Rhinolophus ferrumequinum: one gene and its partner. Each later gene encodes a partner of the first gene's protein in a complex. Links are inferred from orthologs where the notes say so. Each region holds a gene or a part of one and is shown in the gene's direction. Other genes may lie near its edges. The genes, in order: CFAP36 and ARL3.

Region 1 (16,501 bases):
TATATTCAGTCATTCAGTCCTTCATTCATTCAATTAATATTACATGTCTATTTTATTACCAACACACCAACATAACAATGACCTCTTCAAAAGCTGCAGGAGTTAACAGCAAAAAATTTTCAACACTCTTAAAGTGACTTTTCCTCTCACAAAATCTTCCCTGTGCACCCCTGAGTTTAAGCAAAAGTTGTTATTTCTAAATTGATTTGCAGATATTCTGGAGCGTGATTAGCCTAAATTATCCTAACTCTGCTGGCAAGAGCCCTCTGTCTACATGTGATAGCCCAGTGCTCTCAACACCAGTGAGTCTCAAACTTGAATGAACGTAACATGAATGAAATGAGTAGGTATTACTTTTGATTATGAAAATAGACAACAAAAGAAACTTCCAGTTTGGGGAGAGGAATATAAAATACTTTAAAGAGTTTAGCAAGATGCTTGGAAACAAGAGTTTAGCAAGATGCTTGGAAATTCAGTAAATATATAAAACTGAAACAACATTCAAATGTACCAATAATGCTCAGTTTGAAATATATAACTAAAAAGGAAGCCTAACTTAAAATAGCAGCAGACATGAATGTATGTTAATGACATTAATGAAACTATCTTGCCAATATGAAGAAAACTAGAAGATTTTCCTGAAAGATAGTAAGTACAAGAAAAGCGGTACCATATTTTATAAGACTAATATTTTAATGTCATTCTCTCATCAATTAATTTACTTAAAGCAATCAGGCAAAATCCCAATAAAAATACGTTAGAAGAACTTGAGAAAATAATTTTGAAATTTATCTGAAAGAATAAACAGGTAAAAATAGCTAACATCTATAGCCATAATAAAAAATGATCTTATATTACATTAATTTTTAAAATGATATGATCACAGAAAAATAAAAAGGATTGTCTCAGGTTTTATGTTATTTCCTGAGTTCATATTATTTTGTTAGCAAAATGTTTTCCTAAGAAACAATGCAAACTTAAATTTTGTATCATAAACTGTGAGTTGGTGGGGATCAAGGTAATAAGGCTGTATTTTATCAGGATGCTAGACTAATCTCAGTTACTGACCTGAATGAAGTGTAGCATCTCATTTCTGCTCCTTCCTGAAGCATTCTGAGTCATCTCTTTCACCTCTATTAGGATGGCCTCCATCACCAGACTCAGCATCTTTATAGAAAATTGAGTTTTTTTAAGTATCCAGTCAGTCCAATATTTCAATGTTTTCAATAGCTGGATTCCAGTCACATATAATTTCATTTAAAATTAGCTTTTGGCTTTCATATTTAGGCAGCTACCATTATTCTCAACTACTGAAGATTATAACTTGAATGATTTTAATAAATGATGAAAATTAGCTTCAAATGAGTGGTTGTTCCCACCTTTCTAAAAATAGTGCTTATCAATTTGTTAATCAAACAATAATTCACTGAAATTATTCCTTGATCCTATTAGGTCATTTGAAACCATAAAACTTTTCAAGCATACATTCAAATTGCTCATAAAGAAATACAAGAAGCAACACATGCAGTATTGTTACAATAATACAACCACTAAATCTTGAAATTTTAATAATAATGGAGCTGACGTGCACACTACATGTAAAACTGGTATATACTGAAGTGCGTACTTTTAGCAAGTTTAAAGTGTAATTACAGTAATGGATTCAGTAAAATGGCCTCATCTTTGAAAAGCAGTTCAATGATATAGCTGCAATTCCCATACTTAGATGCCAATTCTATTCTTATATGTTTTCATTACAATTTTCTTTGGAAACTCTTCTTGATCATATTTTACCCATGACCGTTTTGATATCTATCACTATATATGGCAAAATGTTCATGTCCAATAATTAAACCAAATTATTGCTGGTTTAATTGGATGGAGAGATTAAACATTTACTCTGCAAAGATCAATATATTTCAGCAAAATCATCAAAATCCAGTTTGAATATACGTAAAATAAACCCATTCCCAAGCTAAATTTTTAATGAGTGACATGTATGATTCTTTATAACGAAAACTGCAATTCTTACTGAGAGATCTAAATAGAGACTTAAATAAATGGGGAAAACATCATGTTCTTTCATGGGAAAAAGAAATATAAGGATCTTTTTTTTTGAAATATAAGGATCTTGATGTTTCTCAAATTAACTTATAGCTTTGATGCAATTCTAATTAAAACATTATTTTTGGAGACCTTAAGAATAGTAAAATTCATAGGAAAAAACAAAAAATATAAAAGATATTTAATCTGATAATAAAATAATCAGATAAACTACATTACTATTAGATAATTAAATATATTACTATGGTTTAAAAGAATGCCTTTGACTGATCCTCCCTCCCCCACTGTCCCCTATACTAATAAGAAACCAAGTTCCTTAAGACCTCTGGGCCATGGGAAGTTTGGTCCTGGTAGGTATCGATTTCTTTTCCTTTTTCTTTTTTCCTGTGATCTGCCACCTGGTGGCCTGAATCATCAACTACGTTTTCACGGTGGCAAGATGCCTAGGGTTGGCTGTTGTTTGCTCCTTTAGTTTACACTTCTGCTGACTAGCCAAGGAATTAGAGGCGAGTGACAGGGTCAAAGGGCACTAAATGACATCCTCCAATCTTACTTAAAAGCACTCCTATATAAAATGACATGATGTCTGGGTTTCGCAAAAATGTTGACAAATTGTTGAAGCACAGTGCTTCTTTTGTGTATGTTTTTAAATGTGTACAATAAAAGATTAAAAATAGAAAAAAAATCATTGCTCTCAAAATTATAAATGGTCAATTAGTATATGAAAGAATCCTCAATCTCATTAACAATTAAACATAGGCAAACTACAATGACTAAATATTTTTTACCCTTCAGTTGAAAAAAAAAGCACTAAAATGCTTTTAGTGCTGAAAAGGTGTGGAAAAATGAACATATAATCTTTTGGTGAGAATTAATACTGTCTTTTGGAGAGCAACTTGGTAACATTGATGGAAAATTTTATTGTTCTAAAAATGTTTCATATCCTTAAACTCAGAATTCCACTTCTGTTTTAGGAAACTACTCAGGCAAGAATGCAAAAATACATGTACACTGATATTTATTGTAGCAGTGTTTAAAAGGGCAAAATATTGGAAATGAGCATAAATAATACATTCATTAACTAAAGGAATATCTGTATAATGAAATACCATGCATCAATCTAAAAAAACAATTTTTTTGTATTAATATTGAAAGATATCCTTTGAAAATGAGGTAAAAACAAGTTGTAGAAATAGGAATGGCCTCATTTTGGTTAAAGATAATATATGCTAATATGTGCATTAAAAAAATCTGAAGGTAAATAACCACACCATTTGCAGTTTTTTTTAGGTGGTAGGAAAAAAGAAGACTTTTACTTTGTTGTGTAGTTCTATGATGTTTGAGTTTTCCTCGATGTACATATATTAGCTTTCCAACAGAGAAAGCAATAAAGATAAATTTTAAAAATGAATAAATAAAAGAGTGTTTTCCTGCCTTCCTTAAAAAACGTTCCATTATTAGCCCAATTTCCTACTGCCTCCCACATCAGGATGGTTCCCAATCAGGATGCTTCCATCTCTTCTGAAGGGGGAAGAAGCTTTTCTCATCTTTTTTTGTTAGAGAGTCTTGATCTCAATGTCCTGGGCTCCAAATAAGAATCTTGAAATTTTCTTTACATTTCTCCCAGAACATTCTAAAAAGGACTAGAGCAAATAGGACCCTCACTGACTTCCTTACTATGCCAGAAGCCCAAACTACCAAATTTATTGAGCCCAAACTAGTGGCCTCCACAGTGGGTACACGAGATATTCACGGGCACTCAGGGAAAAAGAATTAGATTTTCAACCTATATATTTTTATATTACCCTTTGTTAATTTCAATTTTTTTTCAAGTTTAAAAAAATGTGTATTATACAACTGTTTATATTCATATATATATATATGTACATGCATGTAGTTCATTAGTAAATATATATTCACATATTAAGGGGAATAGTAAATAATTTTTTACTGATTAAGTATTTGGTCATAAAATTTAAAGTATTTGGTCAAAAAAATTAAGCCATTAATGTAGGTTACAGATGCTTTTAAGAGAACTAAAAGCAGATCTAAGTCACGTATAAACATATTCTATAAATTAGTTATCCTTCCCAAAGTCACCAATACAGTAGTTAAAAGGAAAAAAAGAACACACAGGAAAACAGGTGAGAAAACCTAATGGAAGACAAATGCAAGAATCATCTTAGTAGGTAATAAAAGGTAGACAGGAAGAGAAGAAAGTAAAACAGGAGAATTATCTACACATACATAAACAAAACAATGAAAACAGACATAATGAATAAAGAAAGGGAGGTGAAATAAAAAGAAATAGTTCACAAAAAAGGCCCTGAACATTTAGAGATCAAGTGAAAGTAAGCAAACAATCATACAGTCGGAATTGCGAATACCATGTCCAGAGTTCTTTATTTCAGTGTCTGTCTAGCATAGCGCTTGATATATATAGGAAGCACTCAACGAATAAAGAAAGGTTTTTAAGCTGTGCTATTTTACATCAAATGAACGTGTTTAGCCACAAATTGAAAAGTCATTGTATTTTTGTTATTTATTTGCTGCTATTTTAAATCAAGCTGCTGAATATTTTATAGATTATGAGGAATAAAAAACAACAGACATTCAAAAGAAAATGGAAATGTGATGCTACATCTGCAAATGAAATAAAAATCTAAAAATTCATTGGAGAATTTGAAGATATGGCAGGTAATTATTTATTTGCCAGCCCACAGAAACCTCCTCAATCCCTTTGCTGTTATATAAACCAAATGATCAAGTAAGAATATTTGCAAGGAACCTATAATTTAGAACTTCTAAAAAGTCTTGCTATAGCCAGAATAAAAGCAATTTATAGGATTAAAGGAATGACCTTTTTTCTCTCTTTACTTGAAAGCTAAATTCATACCATTTGGAGTAGCAATTAGGTCGTTCATCAGCGATGTTTCATATGTTGTATAAATTACAAATGATAATGACACTTCTATTGAATTGGTATTTTTATGCCTGTTGCTAATAATAACTTTGAGCCATCTAATCGAGAATGCAAGCATGTTTTTTTCAAGTTAAAAAAAATATCTGCTCTACCAGTAGTCACACCTCTACTCTCTCTCCCAGGGGCAGAAAAGAGAAATGGATTCTTTTTAGGCAAATATGAGGCACTATATACTGAAATCATCATTCACATATTCATCAAATATTCATTACGGGACTCTTAACGTCAAACATTGTGTTGGGATTGGAAATACATCTGTGAAATTAAAAAGTCTGCTTCCTGGGGAACTCACAATCATTTCTCTATTCCTCCTATGATTAAATCAACAATCTCCAAATTATCTGAGATTTATCTGTCCGTGGGTATGGATATATAGACTCATGGATGTAAAACAATAATAAAAAGGATAAGAATTATTTAGCATTTCACCATGATTACTGCAGAATGCACAATGCTTTCTCTTAAAAAAAAGATTATAGGTACAATTGTCTAACAACTGCATACTGTGTTATTTAGTAATTCCACTTTCAGGAATGGTAAAGACCAGGTGCAAAGATTTAGTTACAAGGATGGTTACTACAGAATTCTTTTTTAAACAGTACAAGAAACAGCCTAGATCAATACAGCCTTATTTAAATAAATTGTGTTATGCTCACACAATGGAAAAGTAGGTACTATAGACTGAATTATTTGCACGCCCCCAAAATTCCTATGTTGAAATCCTAACCCACAATGTGATGGTCTTAGGAAGTGGAGACTTTGGTAGGAATTAGGTCATGTGGGTGGAGCCCTCATAAAATGGGATTAGTGCCCTTATAAAAGAGACCCTGGAGATTCCTTTACCCCTTTGACCTGTGAGGACACAGAGAGAAGATGGCTGTCTTTCAACCAGAAAGAGGGCTCTCACCAAACACTGAATCTGCTGACTCTTTGATCTTGGATTTCCCAATCTTCAGAACTGTGAAAAATAAATTTGTTTATAAGATATCTAGTAAATGGTACTCTGTCATAGCAGCCTGAGCTAAGACACTAGGTAGCATTAAAAAGGATCATGTAGAAATGTTTTTAGTGACATGGAAAAACGTCTGTGATGGATTGTAAAGTGCAAATGGGAAGTTACCTTGTTGATTAAGTATCAAGTAAAGGGAAGTACAAGCCCTAAGTTTGCTTGGATCCTGGGGGAAAAACTTGACCTTATAGTCTCAGTTTTCCCATCTGTTATGGGCTGATGTGTCCCCCCAAATTCGTATGTTGTAGTCCTAACCTCTAGTACCTAAGAGTTTGACTATATTTGGAGATAAGGCCTTTAAAAGGGTAATTAAGCTAAAATGAAGTCTTTAGAGTGGGCCCTAATCCAATATGACTATTGTAAGGAAGGAAAAACACTTTTCTCTACGCTCTTAAGCTTAGTTCCTGGGTCCTGTGAATTAAACTGACAAAGGACAGATTAATAGGAGAGAAGGCATACAATTTTGTTAGTATTAAAATTTTTATGTGTGTGGGGGCTTCACAAAAATGAAGTGAAAAAGTCAAAGAGCAAACAGTTGGGGGCTTACATATCATTTTAACAAAGGGTGATAAATTGTGGAGAAGTGACTAGACAAAGGAATGGGGATTTGGGCTCCTAGGGCTGATAAATTGTGTGAATGACTAGGAAATATATGGGGAGGGTTAAGATACTTCTAACGGAAGATAAGGATTATTTTAGTAAGATCTGTTCATACAGACTCATCTCAGCATTGACTCCTCATCTCTAGTAATAAGAGTGCCCTCCTCTCCTCTCCTCTTTCTGGTATAGGGACAGTATCTTTCTCACAGGAAATTTATGCTCTGCTTTGATGCAGATGGGGGAGAGCAGAGAGCTCTTCCTGTGGCTGCTTGTTTCTCAGTTGCCTTCAGCTCAAAACACTCAATATGCCAAAATGGCATATTTGGGGGTATCATATTCTGATCTTCAACTGATGTCTTTACAAGAGAAAATTTGGATACAGAAGGAAGATCATGTGGACACAGCACATAGGTGGCATCTAGAAGCCAAGGTGGCCTTGGAAGAAACCAAACATGCAGACACCTTGATCTCAGACTTCTCACAGTCTCCAGAACTGTGAGAAAATAAAATTCTGTTGTTTAAGCCACCCAGTCTATGGTACTTTGTTATAGGGCCTAGCAAACTAATGCACCATCTATAGGATGGGGAAAATTTTAATGCCATCTTTACTTAACTCTTAAGGTTGCACTGAGTCAACCAGATATAAATCCCTTTGTAAACTATAAAGCACTACACAAATGTGAGTAGTTGTTATTTACATGGTCCCTCAAAAACCTGGAGGAATGCAGCCATCTTATTAAGATTGAACATTTTAAACTTTTAGTAAGGCTCAGTTCCCATACAGAGGATGGGGGAAAGCATTTTCAGTAGTTATGCAGTAAGGAACATAAATGTCTTGCCAGTAAAAGGAGAAAGGCAAAATAGAGAATGGTTTCTTATACCCACGCTGCAAGTTGTTAAAAAAGAAAACAAAACACCTAGATTACATACAATAGAAATAGTTAATATGTATTGAGCATTTACTACCAACCACGGTCCCAAGTACCTTTTATATGTGTTCTCTAAATAGAACTCTTATCAACCAGATGGTAAAAGTACTGTATATATCTGTGTGTGTGTGTGTGTGTGTGTGTGTGTGTGTGTATGTGTGTGTGTTGGGGGTCTATTTCAGTTTCTTCTTTTACAATACATATGCTCAATATGAAAATTTGTTCACATGTAGTAGATAAGAAGCAATAAAATTGCCAAAATGAGAAGTTGTGATTTTTTAAGAGATGACTATGTTTGCACTACTGGGAAACATGAAAAACACTTCCTGACTGAAAGAAGTGACCTATGGTAAACTATACAACACACACCCACCTCATCTTCTTACTCTTACTCCAATATACCCATATACATTGACCCAAGAGCTTGTGCACTATTCTTCTGAGTTTGTGTTTATTTCATGATAAGTATATTGAGTATGCATATTAAACCTGCATAAGCATCCTGATTATAAGAATCCCAAGTACTGAGTAAAAAGCAAAGCCTTAAGTTTTGAGGAGAAATTTGAAATAATAAAATGTTTTGAAATACATGACAGAACTTACAGCGAATCCACACTGCTCACATTCACGAACAACGCTGAGAAAATAAGTGAAAAGAGAGTGTGTGTATCCCAGTTATCTTGTGTCTAGTGGAATTGGAAAACACTTGGAAAACACTGAACATAAAGACTCTAATGCCAAGTAACGCTGAATACAGTTGAATAGCACTTTGTGGCCTCTCGCCTCATTATAAACCATACAAGCAACTGCTTTACGAAAAGAGGAAATTCTCAGAACAAAAGTGGGATTTCCATTTTATGCTGACTTAGTAAACAGAACAATAAACCAGAGTAATCCAACTCTGGTATCACATTATTTTAGCCTAAGAATGATGATGTCCTTCTTTCTTTTTACCTCTTCAAAAACCATAACACTTTACCACACCCATTTTCAGCAAAAGGTGTTTGAGGCACGGCTACACAATAAAAAAAAAAATACTTATTACCTCCCATTTAAAGTCTATATGGAAAATATGAAACTTCTATGTGGCAAAAGCCATAGTGAACTAAATTAAAAGACAAATAATAAACATGACATTGCAACATGCAACAAAGGGTTAAAATTCTTATAATGTGTAAAAAACTCTTACAAATCATTAAGAAGAAAAGAAGAATAAGAAACGGTCAAAGTATATGAAAAGTTAACACAGGAAGAAACACAAAGACTAATCAACATGAAAGTGCTCAACTTCAAATTTAAAAATGCAAATTAAAGTTATGCATCATTTTTAACCTGGCAAAGATGGCAAAGATGTTTTTCAAAAAGAATTTAAAAAATAGGTTAATTCTCCCTTTGGAAATTTATTCAAAGGAAATGAGACTGATATCCAAAACTATATGTGCAAATATGTTCATTATATAATTGGTAATGAGTTTAAAAACTGCAGTCATTAAATCTAGCAATTGAGAATTGGTCAATTCTTTCATTTAGCCATTCTGCCAGAATCTACGCCTTGGAATAGTTAATAAAACCAACAGCTTTTATAGACACAAAAATGTGTTTTTCAGTAATTTGTAGAAGGGGAAAAATGAATACACCCACATCAAGGGAGGGGGAAAAAAGGGAAAAAAACCTGCACACTACTGATCATATTTATGCATCCACGTATGATATTTTGTGTATACACAAACAAAATAAAAATGGAATAAATTATATTGAATACTATGTACTATAAACAAAGGAGTTTTATATGAAACTATGACTATATTAAAAGTGAAAAAAGTTCCGTAACTGTACATACGACACTATTTATGTCAGTATATAAGGTTGTTTGAAGATAGTCTGGGACGCCAAGCATCTTGACCATGGACCCTGGTGTTATTTGACCTAAGATTTGCTCAAGTAAAACATTTACTTAAATGAATAATCATTTTGATTTTGCCCTTGAAAAGCTCCTAATTCTAGTTTATTTCCATTTATGCAGAAAGGCTAACTACCCACCTGGAGCTACAAGATGCAAAGACTGCAGAGCCAATTAGCAAGTTTTAACAGAGCTACTTTGCTCAACTTTGTATTTTCAAACAACTCTTAATTACAAACACTTCTGGGCCAGCAGGGTTGAAAATGGTTGGCACTTAGCTGGGTTCGAAGCCTTTAAAGCCCTTTTAGTCGGAGCGCGGGTCACAACGCGAACTTCACCACGCCATTTCTAGGCTTGGGCTACCAAGCACTTCGAAGAGGGAACGCGGAAAGCCCTGCTAGGACCTTCAGCCAATGGCTACGCTTCTACGCTTAGCCTTAGCAACGGCAAGCCAATGGGCGGAAGGTTATCTTTTGATCCACTGTTCTTTCCCAGCCAATCGGAAACGTTTTTCGAATGCCCCTGTCTAAAATGCGCAGGCTTCGGGGAACTTGGCATCACTTCTGGGCGGCTGCGCGTGTTGCCATAGCGACCATTATACGTTAACTGGTTTATAGCTTTCCTCCAGGTGGCGGGGCGACTGCGGGGGCAACTCTTCCTTTCGCCCATTCCCTCTAGGCTCCCTGCGGCGGAAAGGCCTTAGCAGGCTCCGGGGGTCTGGCCTAAGGTTCTGCCGCGGTCCGCGGGGGCGGGATGGCTGCGGAAAAAGAGGACGACGCAGAATGGGTCGTGGAGAGCATCGCGGGGTTCCTGCGAAGCCCGGACTGGACCATCCCCATCTTGGACTTTGTGGAGCAGAAATGTGAAGGTAAAAACCAGAGACCGAACCGACAATCTCTTCTTGCTTCTCTTATATCAGCAGTCGTCAGGGAGGTGGTCCGCACAAACCATCTTTATCTCCTGGATTTCCACCTCTGTCGGGCAGGTTTAGAGCTGGTTTGTAGGAGAGATTGCTGTCACTGCGCCTGTTTCTCCTTCATGGAACTGAAAACGGGGACCGAGACTCCCCTACCACTGGGCCCAAGCACACATCCGAAAAACATTAGATTTTAATCCTGTGTTGGGTCTCACACCCCATCCTGCACGTTTCTCCTCTGGACAAGTGCAGTTTAGGTGGGCTTCTTCAACAATTTTCCTTGTGACTTAGGAGGAGAGGCGTCAGTTTACCTCTGAGTTCCTTCTGATCCCAAGAGTTGACCAATTTGGTTTCAGACTTAGCTGAAAACAGCGTCTGTTTTGCATGTGTTCCTAGTGTTGTATAGAGCAGATGCCAGAGGAAATCTAAGTAACATCCCAGTAACACTGAAATTAACAGTGTTTACATACATCACTGACTTTGGGTTGTCAGTGTGTTGTCCACTTCAGATAATTTAAAGATGAGTTTTGTATAACTTTGTGATGTCAGCATGTATTTCAACAAACATTTATTGAGTGTCCTTGGGCCAGAAGCTGGGGATAGAAAAATGAATAAAACAAAATCTTTGTGCTTGAGAAGTTTATCGTTTAGTGGGGAAGACAGGTAGGTAAGTGTAATTTAAATGTAAAGTGGCAGGTGTTATAATAAAGGTAGTCACATGGTGCTGTATTATAAAAGTTCAGAGGAAGGCATCTAACCAGCCTAGGAGTTGGGAGTGGGTAACAGGTCATGAAGAATGTGCCACTTACAATGTCTTGAAGAATGGTTGGAGAAAGGGGTCCAGGTAAAGGCAAAAAGATCAAGGACTGGCCTGAGCAAAGACATGGGGATTTGAAACACCATATGTATTATGTTTGGTGGTATTTCAAGTAATTCTGTATTGTTAAGAGTGCAAAGTTTGGGTTTTAGAGTGGTGGGATATGAGACTTGGGGTCCAATCTTGGAGGGTTTTGTCTGGCTTCTAAGGATCTTGTACTTATTCTCTAGGCAAAGAGCAGTCATTGAAGAGTTTTAAATCAAAAATTACAGAAGTTAGTTTTGCATTTTTAAAAGATGATCCAAGGGGGATTAAAAAAAGACTATTATTTACAATTCATGAATTTGTCCTGTTTCCCTAATTAGATTGTAGCTTCTTGAGGGAATATATATCTTTCTAATCCACATTGTTTCATACTTATCATTCAGTAAACATTTATTTTGGTTTTATTTATTTTAACTTCATTATTGATTTATATGAAATAAAAATGGCCTACTCACTTTTGGTAAAATTTGCATCAGCGAAGGTCCAGTACAATAAAATAATCTGGAGCCTGTTGTAAAAGGAATTAATGTTTAAAAACTATTAACAATAATGTTCCATTAAAAGTTTATAAAGAAACTGTTGTCTTATATTATTGAATGAAATGTAATGTTTGTCTTATATATGAAGATCTTAAGTAGGAAAAATAACTTGTTTAGAATTAACACTATATACAGTATGTATGTGTGTGTACACACATAAAAATATGTTGACTTGTGAGTATATATCCAATTATCTATTTGTAAGATATAAGGAGTGGACATTTATATTTGCATTAATGATTTTTTTTTACATTATGCAATATATATTTTTTAAATTTAGTTTTTGATGATGAAGAAGAAAGCAAATTGACCTATACAGAAATTCATCAGGAATACAGAAAACTAGTGAGTATACTTTTTTACTAATATTTAAAGTTAATTAGAATAATACTAATTTTAGCTTTTCTAGATTAAACAAAAATGGATTTGTCCATTAAAGTTCTTTTAAAAAGTTCAGTCTACCCTAATAGTTCAATCTACCAGTTCCATCAGACTCCAAGGGTTTTCATCCTTATGACTTCGTATGTCTTCTACTCTAGAATCTAAGGAATGGATTTAGGACAACCATGTTAAGGGATCTTGCATCTAATCTTTAAATTTTATTCTTCTACTTGTGCATTCAGGGAAGTGTTAATTATTAACTTAGTTATGGTTATCTTGTGATTTAAAAGTGATTATGGGTAGCAGAAGAGTTGTACCTCATTCAACTTCATAATCCTGACATAATCCTCTAGGAGTTATTTCTAATAGAGGAAATAAAATTGCATTTGACTCTGCAAAAATTTTAACCTTTGTTGTTTTTTTCCATCAAAGACATTGTCACTGCTATATAATTTTATGTGGATTAATAATTGCAAACAAGCATTTCCTTATACTTTTCTAAACTCAATACTTAACATGAAAACTGTCATTTGGAACTTTTCTATATAAATTATTAAGGTTAAACTTTCTCTTTTTAGGTTGAGAAATTGTTAGAAAGTTACTTCAAAGAAATTGGAATTAATGAAGATCAATTTCAAGAAGCATGCATTTCTCCTCTTGCAAAGACCCGTACATCACAGGTTTTTGCTTTTGTATTATTCTGCTAACATAGTTTTGACAAAAATGCCCAGAATTTCACTTAAATTTGCTGTGTTTGATTGTCAGAGTATAATATTGTAGACATTGTAAGAGTGAAAAGCTAATTCATCACATATGGGTTCTGTTTTATAGCTACCTTTAGTAATGATAACTGGAGTCGTTAATGAACTGATGCAATTAAAAAGGAACTTTCTGAACTCAGAACTATAATAGATTACTGTTTTACTTATATAGATCTCTGATAGTTTTGCAGTTGCCCCTTGTTTAATCTTAGCAGATTCACAGTACATGGTTCCTGGGGCTTCGTTCTCTTGGAACTCCTTTTATTGTCTTACTAATTCTGCAGTGCTGGGCTGAAGTAGGTATCGTGTATTTATAACTTAGATTTACTGAGGGCTTATGCTAGCTGCTGGTTTAGGCACTCGATGTGTATTATCTCATTTAACTTTCTTGACACTCCTTAACAAGTTGGTACTATTTTACTTCCATTTAGAAATGAGAAAAGTAAAGCACAAATACATTAAGCATCTAGTGCAAAGTCCACAGCTAAGTAGGTGGTGGAACCGGGTTACCAGACCAGGCACTCCAACTGAGAGGCCTTCCTCAGAGATTGAGGCTAGGGATACGTTACCACTACCCAAAGAGCCTTCTCAAAGAGTGGCTTGAACTTTCCAGCTTCTACCAAATAAACTATAATTTCTTAATGAGATGATAGTGAGAATTGTCAGTGATGTGACCTCAAATTTTATTTTCAGCCTTCTCCTGCTATAGTTCTCCAATACATTATGTATTACAGTCATTCCAGGCTATTCATTCTTGTAAGCATCTATGCACTTGGCTTTGTTCATGCTATTGCTTTACTCTGGAATGTTTAGCCCCCACCTCCCCACTCCACCATCCTTCCTTTACCCAGAAAAATCCTTCCCATCATCGGGCCTGCCTGACATGTTACTTCTTAAGTCAGCTTTCCTGATCTCCCCAGTCTTACTAGCGCTAGTCGGACTGGGCACTTTTACATCTTTGGTGCTTTGCCTTAAATTACAGTTTCTTACAAGTCTGTTTGCCTTACTAGATTGTAAATCCTTTGAGCTATTTTCATTCTTTGCATTCTCAGCATCTAGCATAGAGAGGAGAACTTAGTTTCTAGTAGGTAGTTCTTAATAAATGTTTGTTAAATTATCTTTTTATTGTGGCTTAGAAGAGGTTGCTTTGACTTCTGTTTAATCCAGCACTTCCTGCTACATTTCTCTTTTGTACAACTGCTCATTGAATGACCACCTGTAATTCTAAAGATAGCAACTCTTTATTGTAACGACATTTAAAAAATATTAAAAGTTATTGGTATGCCCACACTAATGTAAACAAACATGATTTTATTAGTTAACTCTATAAACCAAAAGTTGTTTTACAGTTTACCAATAGCTTTTGTTCTAAATGTACCAAAGGTTTAGTTTAAGGAGGAATGATAGGCATTATTTTCTTTTTAGTGGAATTGGAAGAATATGATTGAAAATTATTAACTAGTATTTAAATTTCTTTTAAGACTTTGGTATTTATTTTTATTTTCCTTGTTTTTCAGGAATATTTTTTGCTTTGGTTAATATTTGTCAACCTTTTAATTAAGCCATTGTGAATGAGCCTGAATTACTTTGTGAATAAAGATGTTCTCAGTTATAGCAGATACATCCATCTTTTGCTTTCATTACCAGAATAACTACATTATTTGTGAGTGAAGCTGTCCAGAATTTTAAAATACTGTTTTCAGATCAAGACTAACACATCTTTGTCTTTTGTTTTATTCTGCAACACCTTTGGTTTATTTGGAGTTGATAAGTACAAGGAGGCAATTCTTTCAACACAGACAGACCTGGATTTGAGTCCTAGATCTGTCATTTACTAGCTGTAAGACTCCCGACAAAAGTTGTTTGTCAGTTTTCCTTTCTTATCCATTCTTATTCTCAGTTTCCACATCCATAGACAGGGGTATAGTATCAACTTAGAAAGGTTTTTGTGAGATTTAAGAGATAAGGTTCATAAAGCATTTAGTACAATACCTGACATATATAAGGTGGTCTATAAATGGAAGCACCTCTTAATTAGCTATTTTGGTGGTTGATTAGCACTGTGCTAATCAGGCCAAGGTCATAGGTTCAATCCCCATGTGGACTAGTTAGATTTATTCTCTTCTGGAGCAAACTCTTTAGCACCAGATGCTGAATAGCAACATGATTGAATTAGCCCAAGGCTGTAATTATTACCAGAAAAACAGCTCAAAGCACATTATGTATTGCTTTGCAGCAACCACCTTTCTACATAACGATCAGAATGCTAATTTCCATTATGCCAATATGGTGTGCCTAAGAACAAAGTCAAAAAAACCAGTTGTTTGCCCTGGGTAACTTAAGAGGTAATTTTTATTTTGTTTTCGTTTGCATTGTTTGATTTTGATTTTTAAACCAGCCGCCAGCTCTCATTGAATTCGCATTGCTAAAGCCAACTTGAAAAATTCTTTACCCTTGGTTTGGGCATCATTAGATCTAGACCACTGGTCCTGGATAATCTTTGTCTATTAAAGTCAGCTATAGTAGTAAGAGGTCTCATGACCATAATTAGATGAAGGACACTAGTGTGAAAAAAAGAAAAAAACAGACTTTTTAAGAGCATGTCTTTCTATTAGGTATGTGTGGATTCTTTAAAAATGCTCATGACTTAGGATATCTTTCTAAACAGTTAAGAAAAATAAGACAAAGACTGAGATATTTATTGTTTTAATTGTCGTCAGATGAATTTTGTAATTCTGTGGTATTTTCCAGTTGAAACAGGCAAAAGTGACTTTCTCCATTGCTTGTGATTTTTTGATGAGAGAGCTCATCACTGATTTCTATGTATTGCAAAAGCCAGGGACTTATATTAATATATAGCAAGAGACAATATTTTTCCTCTTGTTTTTGTTTTTTACTTGATTTGCTTTGACTTTTATAAGGTAGACATTAACATTTTCTGAAACATTTGTAATAATAGTAATTTGGGAAAATTATGATGCTTTTTTCGCCAATAGTTTGGACCACTGTAAAGATTACATATGTGGTATACTTTCATTTTCTAAAAATACACACAGGATAATTAGCAATATTTTGTGTGAGTGCTAGAAAGAGTCTTAAAAATTAATAGTGTATTTTTTAGAGCAGTTTTAGGTTTACATAAAATTGAGCACATAGTAGAGTCTCTTAATATTAACATCTTTCATCAGTGTAATGTATTTGTTACAGTTAATGAGCCAATATTGACATACTACTATTAAATGAAGTCCATGGTTTCCATTAGGGTTCACTCTTTGTTTTGTACAGTTCTATGAATTTTGCTAAATACATGTCATATATCTATCATTACAGTATCATACAAAATAATTTCACCGCCTTAAAAATCCTTTGCTCCACATGTTCATCCTTCACATTGTTGCCCTAAACCCCTGGCAACTACTGATAATTTTGTTGTCTTTCTAGTGTGGCCTTTTCCAGAATGTCATATTATTGGGATCATATAGTATGTAGCCTTTTCAGACTGGCTTCTTTCACTAAACAATATGAATTTAATATTCCTCCATATTTATTGTTTATTA
Region 2 (15,956 bases), on another chromosome or scaffold:
GACTGGAGAAGAAATCTCTGTAGAATGAACAGTTTGAATCGGTCTAGGAAAAAGCTACTCTCTTAGTCAGCCTAAGAAAATACTTCCACACCCTAAACGGGGAGACTTGGTCACCCGCCCAGTGCAAGCTCCACCCAGGGACGACTGGGAATCCCTTAGAAAGGCTGTTCCTTCTGAGGCAAAAGGACAGCCACCTGCTCCAGACCCACGTGGACAGCATGGGGTTCAGGTCTCCTACCTGCCGGACGTGGGGGAAGCCGCATTCCTGTTGGTGTAGTTGACTAAAGCATTGAAGGACTGGTTCACCCACTGCCAGAAGACGACCGCCGGCATCGTCCTACCGGTAAGGGAGACACAGGGAGGAGGAGGATGGAAGGGAGGGCTTGGTGTACACCCGTCAAAACACGTTACCTGCTGTACCCTAAATTGTTCCCATGCTATTTTATGCACCTGGGCCTTTGCATAGACTCGCCCCTCTGCCAGGAACACACACACACACACACACACACACACACACACACACACACACACACACTGTTCCATACATGGCTAAATCCTGCTGTTGAGAGATGGGGTCCTCCTTGGACGCTTCCTGACCCTTCCCCTGCCCTTCGTAAGACATAGTCATTCCGCATTCCCTGCTCCCACAACCCCGTATTCTCTCCTCAGTTTATGATTTAGCAAGCTGGGCTGTAACTGTTTACTTCTTGATCTCCTCAACAAAACTGGGAACTCCTTGAGAGGAGGGACTAAAGTCTCTATATTCCCACGGCCTGGCTCGATAACTGGACAAATGAATACATGGGGGAGGGAGGAAGGAAGAGGGAAGAGAGGAAGGGGAAGGAGTCACACATCCAGCAGCTACAAACAAAGTGTATTCTCTCCCAACTGGGCTAAAGGGTCTTCCTAATTTTTTACTGGGATATTACATGATAAAAGTACGTTAAACTCATTGGTGAATAAGAGGGAACTAGGATTGCTTATGCGTTGACAGTTCTAGAGAGAACTGCCTCAGTTACAATCCAGGTACCCATATTTCCCAGCGGTGTGAACTTGGACAAATTATATAACCTCTCTAGAGCCTGTTCTTTATCTATGAAATGGAGATGATAATAGTACCCCATTTGTAGGATTGTTGACAAGATTAAACGAGGTAATACATGCAAAGAATTTAGCACAGTGTCTGGTATCTGGTAAGGGATCAATCAAGATGGCTATTATTACCATTGTAATACGGCTCCCTGCCTAGCACATCCAGGCAGCTATACCTCCCACTGCCTTGCTCTCTGGTCCCACCTGTAGAACTGGAGCATGAAGCCCGTGATGATCATGCCACCAGGGACCTGAAAGGACATCCGTCCGATGACATTCATCTTCTCCCCGGTGTCAGGGTGGAAAGCCGAGTCATACAGCTTCTTGGCATACAGCAGTTGTTCCACTTGGGTGCCTGGGGGCACCATCCCCTTCCTGCCACCCGAGGACAACAGGCAGAGTTACCTCCCTGTCCCCCCACCCCAAGTCATCCTGCTCTCATTTCTCCCCCCTTCCCGAGATCTCTGCCTATTCCCTCACCTTCACTTTCCACCTCCTCCCTAGGGGACCCATGAGTGTTGCCCCAACGCTTCCAGCCCCTTCCCCTAGTCGTTTACCTGCTCTTCTCCACCATCACCTTGGCCCAGTCCAGCTCCCGCTCTGGTACCAGGATAGTGCGGGGGTCCGTAATATTAAAGAAGTGCTTCACCCGCCCCAGGAAAGTGCACTGGTCCCAACGGGGGGCATCGATGTTAAAGCCAGACAGGTCAGCCTCCATCTCGCTTACGCACAGAACCGCACACTTCAGGAACACAGGAAAAATTAGTCCTCCAAATCAAAGCCTGCTCTGAACACCTCCCACTGAGTAGACCTCCCGCTTTCACCAGTCACTGGCATCACTTAACAGTTTGGGAAGGGTCACCAGACCGAGGAATCGGGTACCAGCATGTGCTTCCTATGTGCCTACTGGTGGCCAGCCCTGTGCTTGATCATGCTGTGGGGGAGATGGAAAAGGGACAACACAGCGCCTGTCCTTGGGAGGTGAGTCTGACGAGGAAAAAGAGCCCACCAGTGGAAGAGTACACAATACGTGCCCCCACAGTAATACAGGGGATGAGTGGAAGCAGAGATGGGGGTGGGGAAACACGGTAATCAAAGGGGACTTCCCAGAAGAGGTGGAATGTGAGCGAGGCCCCAGGAGATAGAATACATTTATCTGAAGGAGGTAGAAGGCATGGGATCACATTAAAGGTGGAAACCACCACAAATAAAGGTGGAAATGAACACGGCACAATGACGTTCAGCATTTGAGTGTCTGTGTGTGTGGTGCCTCCGGCGCTGTGACAGATCCCGGGCCGTGGCTGTGAGTGAGGCACTGCATCCACCCTAAAGGAACTTCAGAATAGGTGGTAAACAGACGAGTAAATCAACCTGGACAGCAGTGTGAACAATGCTGCTGATGGACCAGTCAGAGAAGAGGCATCTACAACAGAGATGACCGCATCTCCCAGTTTGCTGGGCCTGTTGGCCTGGGGTGAGTATTAATAGCACCCCCTTTCACTCTCAAAAGTGTCCCAATTCGGATGATAAATTACATGGTCACCTTATCTAAAATCGATGAGGGATTCTGCACGTGCTTCGTGAGTACAAGACATAAACATGTTTTGAAAGATGTGTAGAAGTCAGAGAGTTGGAACAGCAGCATTCCGGGCAAAAAGAAGAGCCACTGCTGAAAGCACACAGTGCGTGTGGGGATGGTAACAGTTCACACTTGCTGAGTACCTACTCTATGCGAGTCATTTTGCTTAGTGCTTTGACTACACTTTCTGAAATCATCTTCACCATAACCCTGTAAGAGATAATCTTTAATTTAACCCCATTTCATGAATGAGAAAACAGGCACAGAGAGGTAACTTTACCAAGTCACACAAGCATTAGCCACTGACAGAGGCAGGAGTTTAATTCAGCCTGATTTACTTCAGAACTCACATCTATAACTGGGTTCTGGAATCCGTGACTTGAAAAACTAAGGCAGGTCTGACACGTATGCAGCTTGAACATTGTCACTCCTGTCCCTGCAATAAGCTGAACAAACTAAAACTCAACAACTCATCTTAGACCCATCAGTGACCTGAGGTCAGGGTGAGAGTGAGTGATTTTTCATGCGGTGAGTTTCAAGTGCCGCGGGACTTTCTTCAATGCAATAGGCTGCCACCTGTCTCAGGTCGTTCGCAAATGCCATTGCCCGCCCAGAATGCTACTCTTTCCCCACTTCACTAAATAACACCCACTCATCCTTTTTTGTTTTTTAAGAAATAATTTTCAGATTTAACTTACATTTTCTACTACTAGGTCATTTGTCTTTTTTCTTGAAAATATTACCTTAACTGAGAATTTTCTATTACGTAGACAATGACAAGTTCGCAGGCACAGCTTGAGCACCACGGAGCCCATGGGAAAGCTCTGGGCTCTGCATTCCAGGGACAGGCTGGCTTGGCCTCCTGCAGGCTGGTTCAAAGACCAAAGGCATTTCACCCAGTCTTAACTGATCCAGGAGTGGGAAAGGGGAAAGCATTCACTTTCCCTGACTCCAAATGTACCTAAAAGGAGTCGGCCCGATCACATACTGCCTTGGCTTACAGAGCCCCACACTTGCGGTCCCGGGAGACAACCCAGCAGAGCAAAATGCTATGTCTCCCCCCTCAATACACAGGCACACACGCATGCACGCACGCGCGCGCGCACACACACACACTCACTTCTCAGACATCTCTCTTCACTCTTGACCCAACATTGGAAAGCCCTGCCTTTCACAAGGGAAGCTCTTCTACCATGAAGGGGTAATCATTTGCTAAATTATGCAAGAACCTTTGCCTTCATTACTAAGGTCAGAATAGGAACTGCCTAATCCCTGTCTTATGTAAAAGGCAAAAAAAAAAAAAAAAATGTATGTCTGGTACATCTCCCCCCACACCACTGCCTGGCAATGGGCACAATTCCATGGCTCCTTCCATGCAAATTCAGCCCTTCTGTTCCACATGTCCACAGCATCCTGTCCTCCTTGGAAGCAGGTTGGGCTTTTGTAATTGTCACTTCCTTGTTATTTCCAGTTACTTGTGTAAAGTATGCCTTACCTGACAGGCTGTAAGGTTCATGCTGTATCTTCCATCTGCCCTCTAAAGACACTTACTGCCTAACTGAAATGCATTCCAATTTATCCTTGTGTTCAAATGGCATCAAGGATGTCACCTCTTTTAAATCAAACTCAGAACCTGCCTTGGTCACAGAAGTAAGAGCAGGCCTTCTTTCACAAAGCTGCAAATTATCTCCTTCTCCTATACCGCATCCTATCTGGTCTCTACATTTTCTTCCAATTTCTCTCCTTCTTCCCACATGAACCACATCTAGTACTCCCTAAAAAAGTCACTATCATGTCCAGGGTGGCCCCACTAATGAAAGAATATGGTTCCACGACTGAGAACAAGGGGGGAGGTAGAGATCAAACAGTGATTGACTGATAACTCCCTTTTCTTCTAAGATTAGAGAATGTCGCAGCTCAATGACATTAGGGATCAAAGATCTCAGTTCATAGAAGAGGAAACTAATGCCTAGATTCACATTGACTGAGCCAGCATGGTGAGCATCGGTGGCACACACAGATCCAGTCCTGTTTATCCATCCAAAGATGTGACAATAGCTAGGGTCTCACTTTCCCAAGGTCACAAGGCTTAGGGTCATCGAGATAGGTCCGCTATCTACTACAGGTTATACTTGTCAAGAGAGAAAGAGAGAGAAAGAGAGGAGGAGGAGGAGGAGGAGGAGAAGTCAGAAGAGGAGGAAGAGAAAGGGAAGGAGAAGAGGAAGGGAAAAAAATAAAATAACCTACTACATCTCCCGAAGTAATGCTCATCCCTTCAGAGAGACCTGATTTTCTCTGGCAAAGTATCAGAGCCAGAGAACAGATTTCCAAATCCCCTCTGGAGTAACCTCTTGCAAGGGAGGGGAAGTACCCAAAATGTCCCTGTTTGTATCCCCAAGTAGGGAAAAAAACGAAACATTATTGCTGGTACTCACATCTGAGGAAGATCAAAGCCATCAAAGACTCAGGTCAGACACAAAGACCACTGGATGGGGAAGGTTAATGTCAAGGCTGCTTAGGGCAAGTTGGAGATTGAGACTAATAATTAAACAAGCAGGTCTAGGTATATGCTTACGTACACTCATGTGACCCCAAGGCAACAACTTAGAAAGGGAAGTCTGCCTTGCCTTTTTCACAAAAGAACCAACAGGCTAGAGATGGGTAGATTGTTGGAGTGATGCTCTGAATGAACCATTCATCTTGCATCTCCTTAGTCAAGGTTCTTAACTGAGTTCTCTCTCCAAGGATCTAAAGCAGGCACACAGGTAGCAGATGTTTAAAAAAAATACTTTAGTTGAATGCATAAATAGCTAAGGACCATTCAGAGAAAAATATGCGTTCATTCCAATTATCTTAAGTAGACTGGAAAATCTGCTGATAGGAAGAGGGGCAAAGCCAAAAAACCTAGATGAAACTATTAATGCAGTCATGTGTCGACTGATGACAGGGATATGTTCTGAGAGATGCATCATTGGGCAATGTCATCATTGTGCGAATGTCATAGACAGCACTTACACATATACAAACCTAGAGGGTACAGCCTGCCACACACCTAGGCTATACGGCACCGCCTATGCTCCTAGGCGACATGTAACATCCTATACAGCATGTTACTATACAAAACAACATGAGGTTACACTAAGTCCAAGAAAATATGATGCAATCATGGTAAACACACGATGTATGATGAGGCTACTGCTGGTGTAACTTCGTATACTGTTTTACAGCAAACTTTTTTTGTAAGTAGAAAGAGTATACTCTAAAATAACAATAAAAAGCATTGCATAGCAAATACAGAAACCAGTAACATAGTGGTTTATTATTATCAAGTATTACGTACCGTGCATAACTGTATGTGCTATACTTTTATAGGACTGGCAGCACAGTGGGTTTGTTTACCCCGGGGTCACCACAATATGTGAGTAATGAGTTGTGCTATGACATTAGGACAGCTACATCACTAGGCGATAGGAATTTTTTAGCGTCATTATAATCTCATGGACCACCAACATATATGCAGTCCATCGTTGACCCAACACTACGTTATGGCTGTTAACAGCTAAACCCTATATAGCACTTCCTATGTGCCAGGTATTGTTCTATGAACTTGACATAATAATTCATATAATCCTCACAAGAACCCAGTGAGATAGGTAAGACTCATACACACATGTGCAAAGTTCCAGGTGTACCATCTACACCCACATTGTATCAGCTCTTAAAAAAGTTTTGGGTTTCCATTGCAAATACAGACCACTCTGTTCCTCTTACCTGAACGTTACAATAGTGTTTAAAAGCACTTCCTCAAGAATCAACAGAACTGGGTTCAAGTCCCCACTCTATATTACTTAAAACAACCAATTTCCAGGGTTGTGAGAATGAAATGGAATCTTGTGGGAAAAGCATTTCACTAGAAAGGATGTAGTTTCCACGAAGCTAGATTTTCTCAGCTCTTGTGTTTCCAGAGTCTAGAATACGACCTGGCTCCTAAGCCATAACTCTTCCTGTACTCTGCATGGGGAAGCAGTGGGAGGTAACACCTCCCAACTCACCCCGGATCCCTCTCGCTCTTACTTGCCTGGAAGTGTAGGCCTATTTTTTGCCTCCTTCAGGACCGCAGAAGGCGAACCTCTCGGTCAAACGTAACTTAGCAAAACCTGGCCATTCCAAAATGCCATTCACCCGCGCCGTCAGCTCACTAAGAACTCAAGGCCAGTCCCCCGGCAGCTTCTTGCGCTACCACAGGCAGCCTCCCACCACTGGGACTCCTCCATCCCGCACTAACACAGGTGTGTGGAGATGAGTGCGCAGCCCTTAACGCACCATCCCTACGAAAGACAGACGAAGGCGCTGGGGCCTAAGGGAGAGGTCCATGGGCAGTCCCAGGCCACTCCTCTCGCCACGTGGCTTCGGCAAGAGTAAGCCCAGCCCGCGCTGCAGCCCCGCCAGGGCAGTCAGGATAGAAACACAAGCTCCGTCCCAGGACGTAAGGACTGGAGGTAGATGTGGCTGGCGACCTCCCAAGACAACTTACCTCGTCCCGGGAGAAATGAACTGAGACAAATGCCACCAGATGAAGCCCGCGTTGGAAGCCTGGCCTGGGCACCGCGGAACTCCGCCCAGGAACCGCCCCCACACCCTCCTGACCAATCACAGGCCTGGTAGCCTCCACAGGCCACGTGGGCGAATTGTCACCATTCCCGGGTCTCTACAAGCCCGCAGCCACCTCCTGCTTCTCAAGCAGCCCGCCTGCGCAATGGGCGGGCACTTTGGTGCGCTTGCGCACTTAAGGGAAAGCGGAGCTGGACCCCGCCCCGTCCTGCTGCTTTGATCCTCCGCTGTGCGTGCGAGAGACGTTGGGGGCGGTGCCGCAGTAGTTGCCCCTGGTAACGGGGGAGGCAAGAGGAGGAGGAGGAGGAGGAGGAGGAGGAGGAGAAGAAGGAGGAGGAGGTGGGACTCGGCGGGAGGATGGTGAGTGTAGGGGCCTGGGCCCCTCCGGAGCCGATCGGTCACCCCCCTCCCGTCCCCAGGCCCAGGGCGGGGCACTGCGCTTAAAGCCAAGGAGGGAATGGGACGGCGCTCAGCCTGCTGTCTGGGTCCAGGATTGGTTTCGGGGGACGGCAGGGAGCCCGGAAGGTGTGGGCCCTGGAGGGAGACCTGGGCCTGGGGAGGCAGGTGGGCTTGCAACGGATCCCTAGACAGGGGAAAGGGCTGGAAGGGTGCGTGGCTGTCCCCATTCGGAGTCGGGGCTCCATCATTACTCGGGGAGCTGGGATGAGGGCGGATCTGAGGGGCTGCGAAGATCAGCTTCCGCACGCAAGCTTATATCTGCCAAGGGAATCCGCCTCCCTACGCCGCAGGAAAGTGGGGTCCGCCAGGGGCGGGCCAGAAGCGGGAAGCAAGGCCAGCGCTACTGCGTTTGCGGTCGCCCTGGCGGTACCACGGGAGATGGTAGCCTAGCGCTCCTCTTCCTCGTTGTGCGGGTCTCTGGAGGGAGGGTTGTAAATCCCAGGACACATAAAACATGCGCCTCTTGGAAGAGATGCCTGGTAGATTTTACGCCGCCTCGGTGTCTGCGTGGCGGGTGTGCTTCTGCAGTCCGGAATTATTTATTTGCTAAGGGTTCTGCAAGGTCTGGGGGATGGTGATGACCAATCTTCCGTTCAATTATCCATGTTGATGGAAGCAAATTTGCTGCCCGATCCCTAGTATTTCCTTCAGAACCTGTTGCAGCCCTCTTTTGCCTATGACTACACCAGAACCAATCTAAGCTTAAGGTCTCCAAACTAAAAAGGAATTGGGAAATTGAAACTGGAGAGTGGCCATCAATTTGAGGCAAGCCTTTTCCCTGTCAGACCTAATGAAAGCTTTCCCAAACTCTAAATTATGATGTGTGGCAGGTTTGTTCTTTGTTGATTTCTGTGAAGTTAGTTGGAGGGTGTTAAAATGGAATTGAGTATTACTGGAATCTATCAGTAAACTTTTATAGTTGCCGCTAAAAAATCGGAATTGAGGAGTTTTAGAGCAAGCGAAGAAAAATTGATTTTGAGGCATTTAGAGCAGGTTTGTTGGCTTACCAACTGTAAAGAGCAAGCACTCAAGATTAGTTACTTCCCTACCCTAACCCCAGTTCCTTTTTGACTTTTAGAAATGCTGAACCACTTCTAATGATTTACGAAGTAAGAAAAAGCTAGATGTCCACAAGGAAAAACTATGTGTACCTTTGGTCAGATTATCCAATGAGTAAATTTCGATAGGACAAAAAAAAAAAACCTCAATTGATTTTACATTGTCAGATTGTTAAAGAAGTAGAATTATTTGATCGGAAGTTGCCAATCACATTCACATTTCACTCTTACTACATTGCAGTTTTATTAACCTCAGGCTAAACAAGTTTTTACATGTTTTCTTTTTATTAATCGTGTATACATGAGCTGTCCATTTAAAGGCTGTTTTTCTCCACAAAAATGAGTATAAATATAAATATTTACTCAGAAAATAACTACAATTGAAATGAAAAAGACATGCCAAACCAACAGAATTAGATGTCATCATAAATGAGAAATGCATGAGAGTAACCTAACTTTTCCCAGTTTGTTTATCAATTAAGTGGACTGTACGAGTATAATTTCATGATTGTTTAATTTATAATTACAGACCACAATAATTTAAATACTGCTTATGTTTCCAGGTGCAAATTGACACTGTATACAACAAATTGACAATGTACACAACACTGTTGTATACAACTGTTATGTTAAGTGATCAAGACAGATTTTGTTTTTCTTTTTTCCTAAAATGAACAATAAGAAATTAGGACAAATTATTCTGGATTCTTTATCTGGTTTCCAAAATACATTTTTTTTTTCTATCTTCAAAAGTGTGAGCTATTCTTAGAACAGAAAGTAGAACATGGAATTTAAATAGCCAGTGGTATGATTAAGTGTGTTACATCTGGTATCCCATAAGCCCCCCTGAGAACTGTACAACTGAAGAGTAAGTCCCAGGTTTTTGTGGGGGGGGTTTTGTGTGTTTTTTTAAGCCCTCAGCTGTGACATAATTTTTCTTTTTTTTTTAGTTCGTAATACTGCAACAAAACCCATTGGTTTCTCTGAATATTTAGCATCAGCAGTTTTACCCCTGCCTTATAATACCAAGTCGTTGGTGAAATACTAAGATGACAATAATTTCAGTACATAACTAATCATTGTTATTTAATATATCACGCCTTCATTCACGAATTACTTATGGAGTACTTTCTACATATAAACCTAGCGGTAGTTATCAAGCATGTTCAACATTTGAATATTGTTCTCAAGGTGATGCTTTCTGATCAGAAAATGTTCAGTGAAAAGTAAAAAAACAAAAAACACACAACTACTGTCTTGAGTGCCTACTATGTGTCCTGCTTTACACATTTAATTTTCATAGCGTTTTTCTTAAGATATAAGTATTGTTTCCATTTTTCTATATCTAACTGTGCCTGGTGTTATGCATATAGAGAAGTCCACTGCAAGTCTATGAAACTTTAAAGCCTGCAATGTTTTTTTCATTAGGACTCTAGTGAAGTGGAACCCATGCTTTCTGAAGAGATGCCCATATTTTGTTCCTCAGGAAACATTGTATTTATTTAGTATAGAGATGAGGAGAAAGAAGACAAAGTTTGGGTGATGTTCCCTTTATCAAAACTAGAGGAGTTCCTGAAAATAACATCTCACTGGGCAGCACCAATTTTTTGTTAGTTTAAAGAGGTATAAGTAAATTGAAGTCGGTTCCATTTAAACTAGTTATAGAGAGTGCATATACTTGACAGTTGGTTTACTAATTTTGATGTTTAAATTTTAGCTGCTTCTCACAGCCACATGTAGTTTTCCCATATGCCAACACATCCCTCTTTTCCCCTGTACCACACCAGTTTCTTTGAATGACCTAGTTTGTATCATTTTAAGTCAGTGCGCCATACTTCTGCCAGTAGTTGAATTTAAGCTGATTTTGAAGCAGATAAAATGTCTATAGTAAATAGCACATCTATTCACGATTTGCATGTAGAAAAGTTTGTTTAAATGTTTTGTAGCTGAGCCAGATCACTTCTGTCCACCAGGGTACAGATAACTTGTATACACACATGCTGATGACACACAATCTACAGTTAACTGAAGTTCTTGTTTCTTAAATTGACTTTTAATGCCATAAGGAGTACAGATCATACATAGAGGTCATGTCTGTTTTGCTCACTGTTATATTTGGGGCACATTATGTTATTTAATGATGAATGGATGGATGGATATTGTGACCAAAAATATACTTTAAAAATCCATTCCCTTGTATTTATGCTGCAAAACTTAGCTCCATAATAAAATTAACTTCTAATTTCTCCCTCCTTTCATTTGACATTTAAAATGTAGGATGGATGGATATATATATATATATATATATGTGCATATATATATGTATATGTATATATATGTGTGTGTGTATATATATATATATATATATATGAATAGAAGCATAGAATAGACTTATTTTGCTGTCTTTCTCCAGCCTCTTAAATCAGCTTACTTTGTACCTTTTAGGCTGAACCCTAATGTCTATAAATATCCTCTTCCCTATTTAGCAAACCCTGATAATCCTGTGATCCTCTGTCTTCAGTAGTTGGGTTAATATGATGCTGTATTGTATTTGCATTTGTCTTGCCTAGACCATGCTTGAGACGCCATTCATCATTTTTTTGGAAGAAAATATTAGCTGAACTTTCCATTTCTCTGTAATTTCACTTACAGGTGAAGCAGGTGATGTCATTGTTTCCCAACAAGGAAAATTACTCATTAGAAATGTCGAAGTATTGATTTTTATACCATTCGGTTAATAAAGTTTAGCTATAGTTAAAATGGTTTCTTTCTTATCTGTGCTTTGCTTCTCTCCTTTTAAAATGAATAAAAATTACATTTTTAATTTTTTAATTTCAAATATAGTGAGTATGTAAAAAAGTCTCAGTTTGCAGAATGCAGTATTTTTATTTACTGATTTTTCAAAAGAAGAGACATATGAGGAAAAACCTAAAACATTCATTTGAACCTTGAAAATATGTTATAGAAAACAGACCTTCCTTCACAATTTCTATGCTAATAGATAATGCATGAGAAAAACTGTACCTTTACTGTCATTTAATATACTAATATGATAAATTCTAGTTGTTTGAGAGTTTTATTAGAAAGGTAATGAGGACATCTAATCAGGAACTCAGGAGTAGGACAATGTGTTTTCCGTGTTCTTAGCCTTTTTTTATCACCTGTCCCCTGAGGATCGCAGAATTCTAATTTTAACTGTTCTGAAAGGTGGTATTATAAATGAGTGATTGCAATGTAGCTAACAGAAGCCAGGGAGACTTCTCATAAATATAGTTTTAAAAAGGAACGGTGTCGAAGTATTCAAGGCCAGATAAGATGAAAACGAAAGAAATGTGCCTTTAAAAAGACCTGCCTGTCTTCATCCTTTTTGTTTGTTTCAGATCTATTCAGCCTGTCTTCCCCAAATCTTTTGGTATAGAATTTGTCTTTCTGTCTTAAACCAAATGTTCCCTTTTATTGCTGGAAAAATGTGAGGCATATAGAAGTTAATGTCCTTAACAAGTCAGTACAAATCCAGTACTAGGAGTGGTAATCAAAGAGTCTCTAAGGAGAAAGGAGTTCTTAATAATTAAGCATATTTGCATATCATTGTCCAAAGACTCAGTTGTTGAGAATTGTTTCACAGAATTATTATTTGATTTTAGTGAACAGACTGGTGTGAATTATTACCTGGTGCGATGCAGATAAAAAAAATACGATTTTATATAGCTCTAAGACTCAGTTTGAAGGAATTTCTGCTTGGGCTAGGAGATTTGATTATATGTCCTTTAAACTCTGGGACTCTGAGTCTTGTAATCATGCCTCATTGGAACAAGAGTGTCAGCTGCAGGACTGAACAAGTCTTACAAGACTTTTCCACTTCCTAGGTAAAAAGCAACATGGTTTACTTCCATCCATAAAAAACAGCAATTGTAAAACCAAGAAACAGAACTATTAGGTTACTAGTCAAAAATACCGTGATTAACTTTTGATGTTTTTTGCTTCATGAGTAACTTTTACAATTCCCTAACTTCTCTTGTTGTATCAGATTCTTCATCTGAAAAACAGATAATCCATACTGTACACTGTTCTGTTAGGGTCTTTGTGAGAGTTAGATGATGGTATTTTGAATGATGAAGTCTTAAACATGAACTGAAATAAAGTCTTAAACAGAGAGCCCAGATACAATTTTATACTTTTGTATTTATTTGTATAATACCTTTAAATCTTGCATTAACTTAGGTGGATAATTCTATTTAATTCAACAACAATTATAAACCGTGTTTCCCTGAAAATAAGACCTAGCCGGACCATTAGCTCTAATGCGTCTTTTGGAGCAAAAATTAATATAAGACCCGATCTTATTTTAATATATAAGACCGGGTATAATATAATATAATATCGAGTCTTAGATAATATAATACCCGGTCTTATATAATATAATATATAATACCAGGTCTTATGTTACTTTTTGCTCCAAAAGACACATTAGAGCTGATGGTCCAGCTAGGTCTTATTTTCGGGGAAACACGGTAATATCAATCTAGTAAGTGCCAGGCATGTGAGAATCAGAAAATGTAATTCTTACCCACAAGAAACTTCACTCTAGTAAAGGAAAAAAATACAAAAGTCAGTTACCTATAGTGTGATATGATGAGTGCTATACGCGGAGTTTGTATAAAGGGCTTTAGGAACCCAAGTTGGGTAGTAGTTTATACTTCCAGGAGATTTGGGGTGACTGCTAAGCTGGATTGATAGGAGGAATAAGCCATGCTATTTATTAAGTTGCTGAATTTACTAACCTACTTCTACCAAAACTCAGAAGGGGGAAGTAAATGGAATAAATGATATTAAAGTGGAAATAATAATAACTAAGCTCTCCACAACCAAGAACTTTTTTCAAAGAGAAGAAGATGTTCTGATGTTCAGTAATATCAAAGTCAGTACCCCAAAGTAATCTCTCTTCTTCATGGTTGTTCAAGGGCTTACTCTCAATTTTGCGCAAATTGAAAAGTGCACCAGACCAGGAGGTGAGACTCCTTCTCCTGGGCTTGGATAATGCTGGTAAGACTACTCTTCTGAAGCAACTTGCATCTGAAGACATCAGCCACATCACACCTACACAGGTGAGGACTGTCTTGGTCCCTAATGCTTGTGGGACACATGGAAGATGATAATAGCAAAAGACAAAATGGGAAATACAGTTTTATCCACTTCCAAGGTGTGTTACTGAGAAAAGTCTATACAGTTTAAAAATAACCTAAGATTTCAAAAATATATGAAGAGATTCCATTCATGAGATATTTAGTCAAATTCATAGAAAGTAGAATAATGGTTACCAAGGGCTGGGGAGAGGGGGGAATGGGGATTTATTGTTTAAAGGGCACAAAGAGTCAGTGTTACAAGATGAAAAAGTTCTAGAGGTAAATGGAGGTGATGGTTGCACAACAGTGCAAATGTACTTAATGCCACCGAAATGTACATTTAAAAATGGTTAAAATGGTAAATTTAATTTTATGTATATTTTATATTTTTTTAAATAATTCAGATATATATATGTCAAGACACAATTCCCTCCAATCTAAGTGATTACTTTTTTAAAATAGCTTTATCTTCTCTAGTTATGAAATAAATACATGTAGGGGGTGGCCAGTTAGCTCAGTTGGTTAGAGCGTGGTGCTAATAACACTAAGGTTGCCAGTTCAATTCCCACATGGGCCACTGTGAGCTATGCCCTCCTTAAAAAAAAAAAAAATTAATATGTGTAGAAAATACAGAGAAGGTATAAAGGAGAAAACCAAAGAGTACTATGAGAAAAGCCACTGTTAATATTTTAGTGTGTGTTTTTCAGACTTAATAAATACAAATATATATCAATTTTTTAAATAAAAATAAATGTAAAAATTATCTATATTTTTTTTTTAGATTTTTAAAATTTTTTTTTAAATTTTTTTTTTTATTGGGGAAAGGGAACAGGACTTTATTGGGGAACAGTGTGTACTTCCAGGACTTTTTTTCCAAGTTAAGTTGTCCTTTCAATCTTAGTTGTGGAGGGTGTCGTTCAGCTTCAACTTGTTGTCCTTTCAGTCTTAGTTTTGGAGGGCTCAGCTCCAAGGTCCAGTTGCCGTTTTCTAGTTGCAGGGGGCACAGCCCACCATCTCTTGTGGGAGTCGAACTGGCAACCTTGTGGTTTAAAGGATGCACTCCAACCAACTGAGCCATCCGGGAGCTCAGCGGCAGCTCAGCTCAAGATGCCTGTTCAATCTTAGTTGCAGGGGGCGCTGCCCACCATCCCTTGTGGGACTCGAGGTGTTGAACCGGCAACCTTGTGCTTGAGAGCCCACTGGCCCATGTGGGAATCGAACCGGCAGCCTTCGGAGTTAGGAGCATGGAGCTCTAACCGCTTGAGCCACCGGGGCGGCCCTACCTATATTTTTTTTGTTTAATCCAACCTCATCAACCCTCCTCTTTTCTAAGGCTAAGCAAGCAAAACATAAAAGATAAGGCAATGGTGGTGCTCACCATGTAGAAGTTGAAAGACAAGTCCAGGTGGGAAGAATTCTAGTCAGCTTCTTTAGACCTCCTTTCCTGTAGGAAATCCTGAGAAAGTTTGACCTCTGACCAAGCCTTTGGGTTTCCTAATTAGGGACAGCCCTGTTGGTCTTAGTCACTTTAACGTGTCTGAGCATTAGTAGTTTCAGCAAAACCAGGGTTATTTGGCATTTTCTGTCACCATACCATGGCAAGAGCTTGGTGTCAGGTTTGAATGGCTGTGCTAGTACATACATATATACATCACGACCTAGGAGTCTTACTGATTGAAAACTCTGCAAAAAAGTCTTTTCAGCTGCAATGAAATGAGCAATTCTACAGCTTCTTAACAAATTGAATGTATAGCCTAGTGAGGAGCAAATTACAGTAGCCTAGCCTAGGAGGGCTGGAAACACATATTAGTGTGTCAGAATTTCTGCCAGAAAAAAGAAGAGCTAGTTGGTTTTTGGGGGGGTTTTTTGGGGAGAGTGGGGGATGAATGATAGGCTGTGTCTGTCAAGATCACCAGTAAAATAGAACTTCTACACTGTGAGCATGGAAATGAACTCAAAGTTATGGGCCCAAAGTTCCAGTTCTAACTTTCAGGCTTTGTTTGGTGTGTTATAGATGACTCCTATTATGTTACG

The links.
Region 2: the proteins of CFAP36 (region 1) and ARL3 are in contact, whole or in part, in a crystal structure (PDB 4ZI3), measured with the Mus musculus proteins. The link is inferred for Rhinolophus ferrumequinum from reciprocal best matches to the Homo sapiens genes CFAP36 and ARL3. Residues at the interface, in NP_080016.1 of Mus musculus: Glu44, Glu45, Ser46, Lys47, Leu48, Thr51, Glu52, Lys58, Val61, Glu62, Leu65, Glu76, Phe79, Gln80, Cys83, Thr84, Ala88, Lys89, Leu97, Val100, Leu101, Ala103, Glu104, Asp105, Phe106, Thr107, Ile108; in NP_062692.1 of Mus musculus: Leu3, Leu4, Ile6, Leu7, Arg8, Lys9, Leu10, Lys11, Ser12, Arg19, Lys35, Glu40, Pro47, Thr48, Gln49, Gly50, Phe51, Asn52, Ile53, Lys54, Trp66, Ile74, Tyr77, Ser80, Tyr81.

The regions. Positions count from the first base shown.
Region 1 is NC_046296.1:32,223,821-32,240,321, reverse strand, and holds the start of CFAP36 (cilia- and flagella-associated protein 36), read left to right. Parts: upstream 1-10,013; 5' UTR 10,014-10,238; coding exon 10,239-10,353; intron 10,354-11,191; exon of another isoform or gene 11,192-11,223; coding exon of another isoform or gene 11,224-11,245; intron 11,246-12,082; coding exon 12,083-12,147; intron 12,148-12,761; coding exon 12,762-12,863; intron 12,864-16,501. UniProt on the Homo sapiens protein: May act as an effector for ARL3.
Region 2 is NC_046299.1:22,364,670-22,380,625, forward strand, and holds the start of ARL3 (ADP-ribosylation factor-like protein 3), read left to right. Parts: upstream 1-7,590; 5' UTR 7,591-7,639; coding exon 7,640-7,642; intron 7,643-13,760; coding exon 13,761-13,904; intron 13,905-15,956. Other genes in the region: SFXN2 (sideroflexin-2), read right to left, coding at 239-337, 1,297-1,467, 1,650-1,810. UniProt on the Homo sapiens protein: Small GTP-binding protein which cycles between an inactive GDP-bound and an active GTP-bound form, and the rate of cycling is regulated by guanine nucleotide exchange factors (GEF) and GTPase-activating proteins (GAP).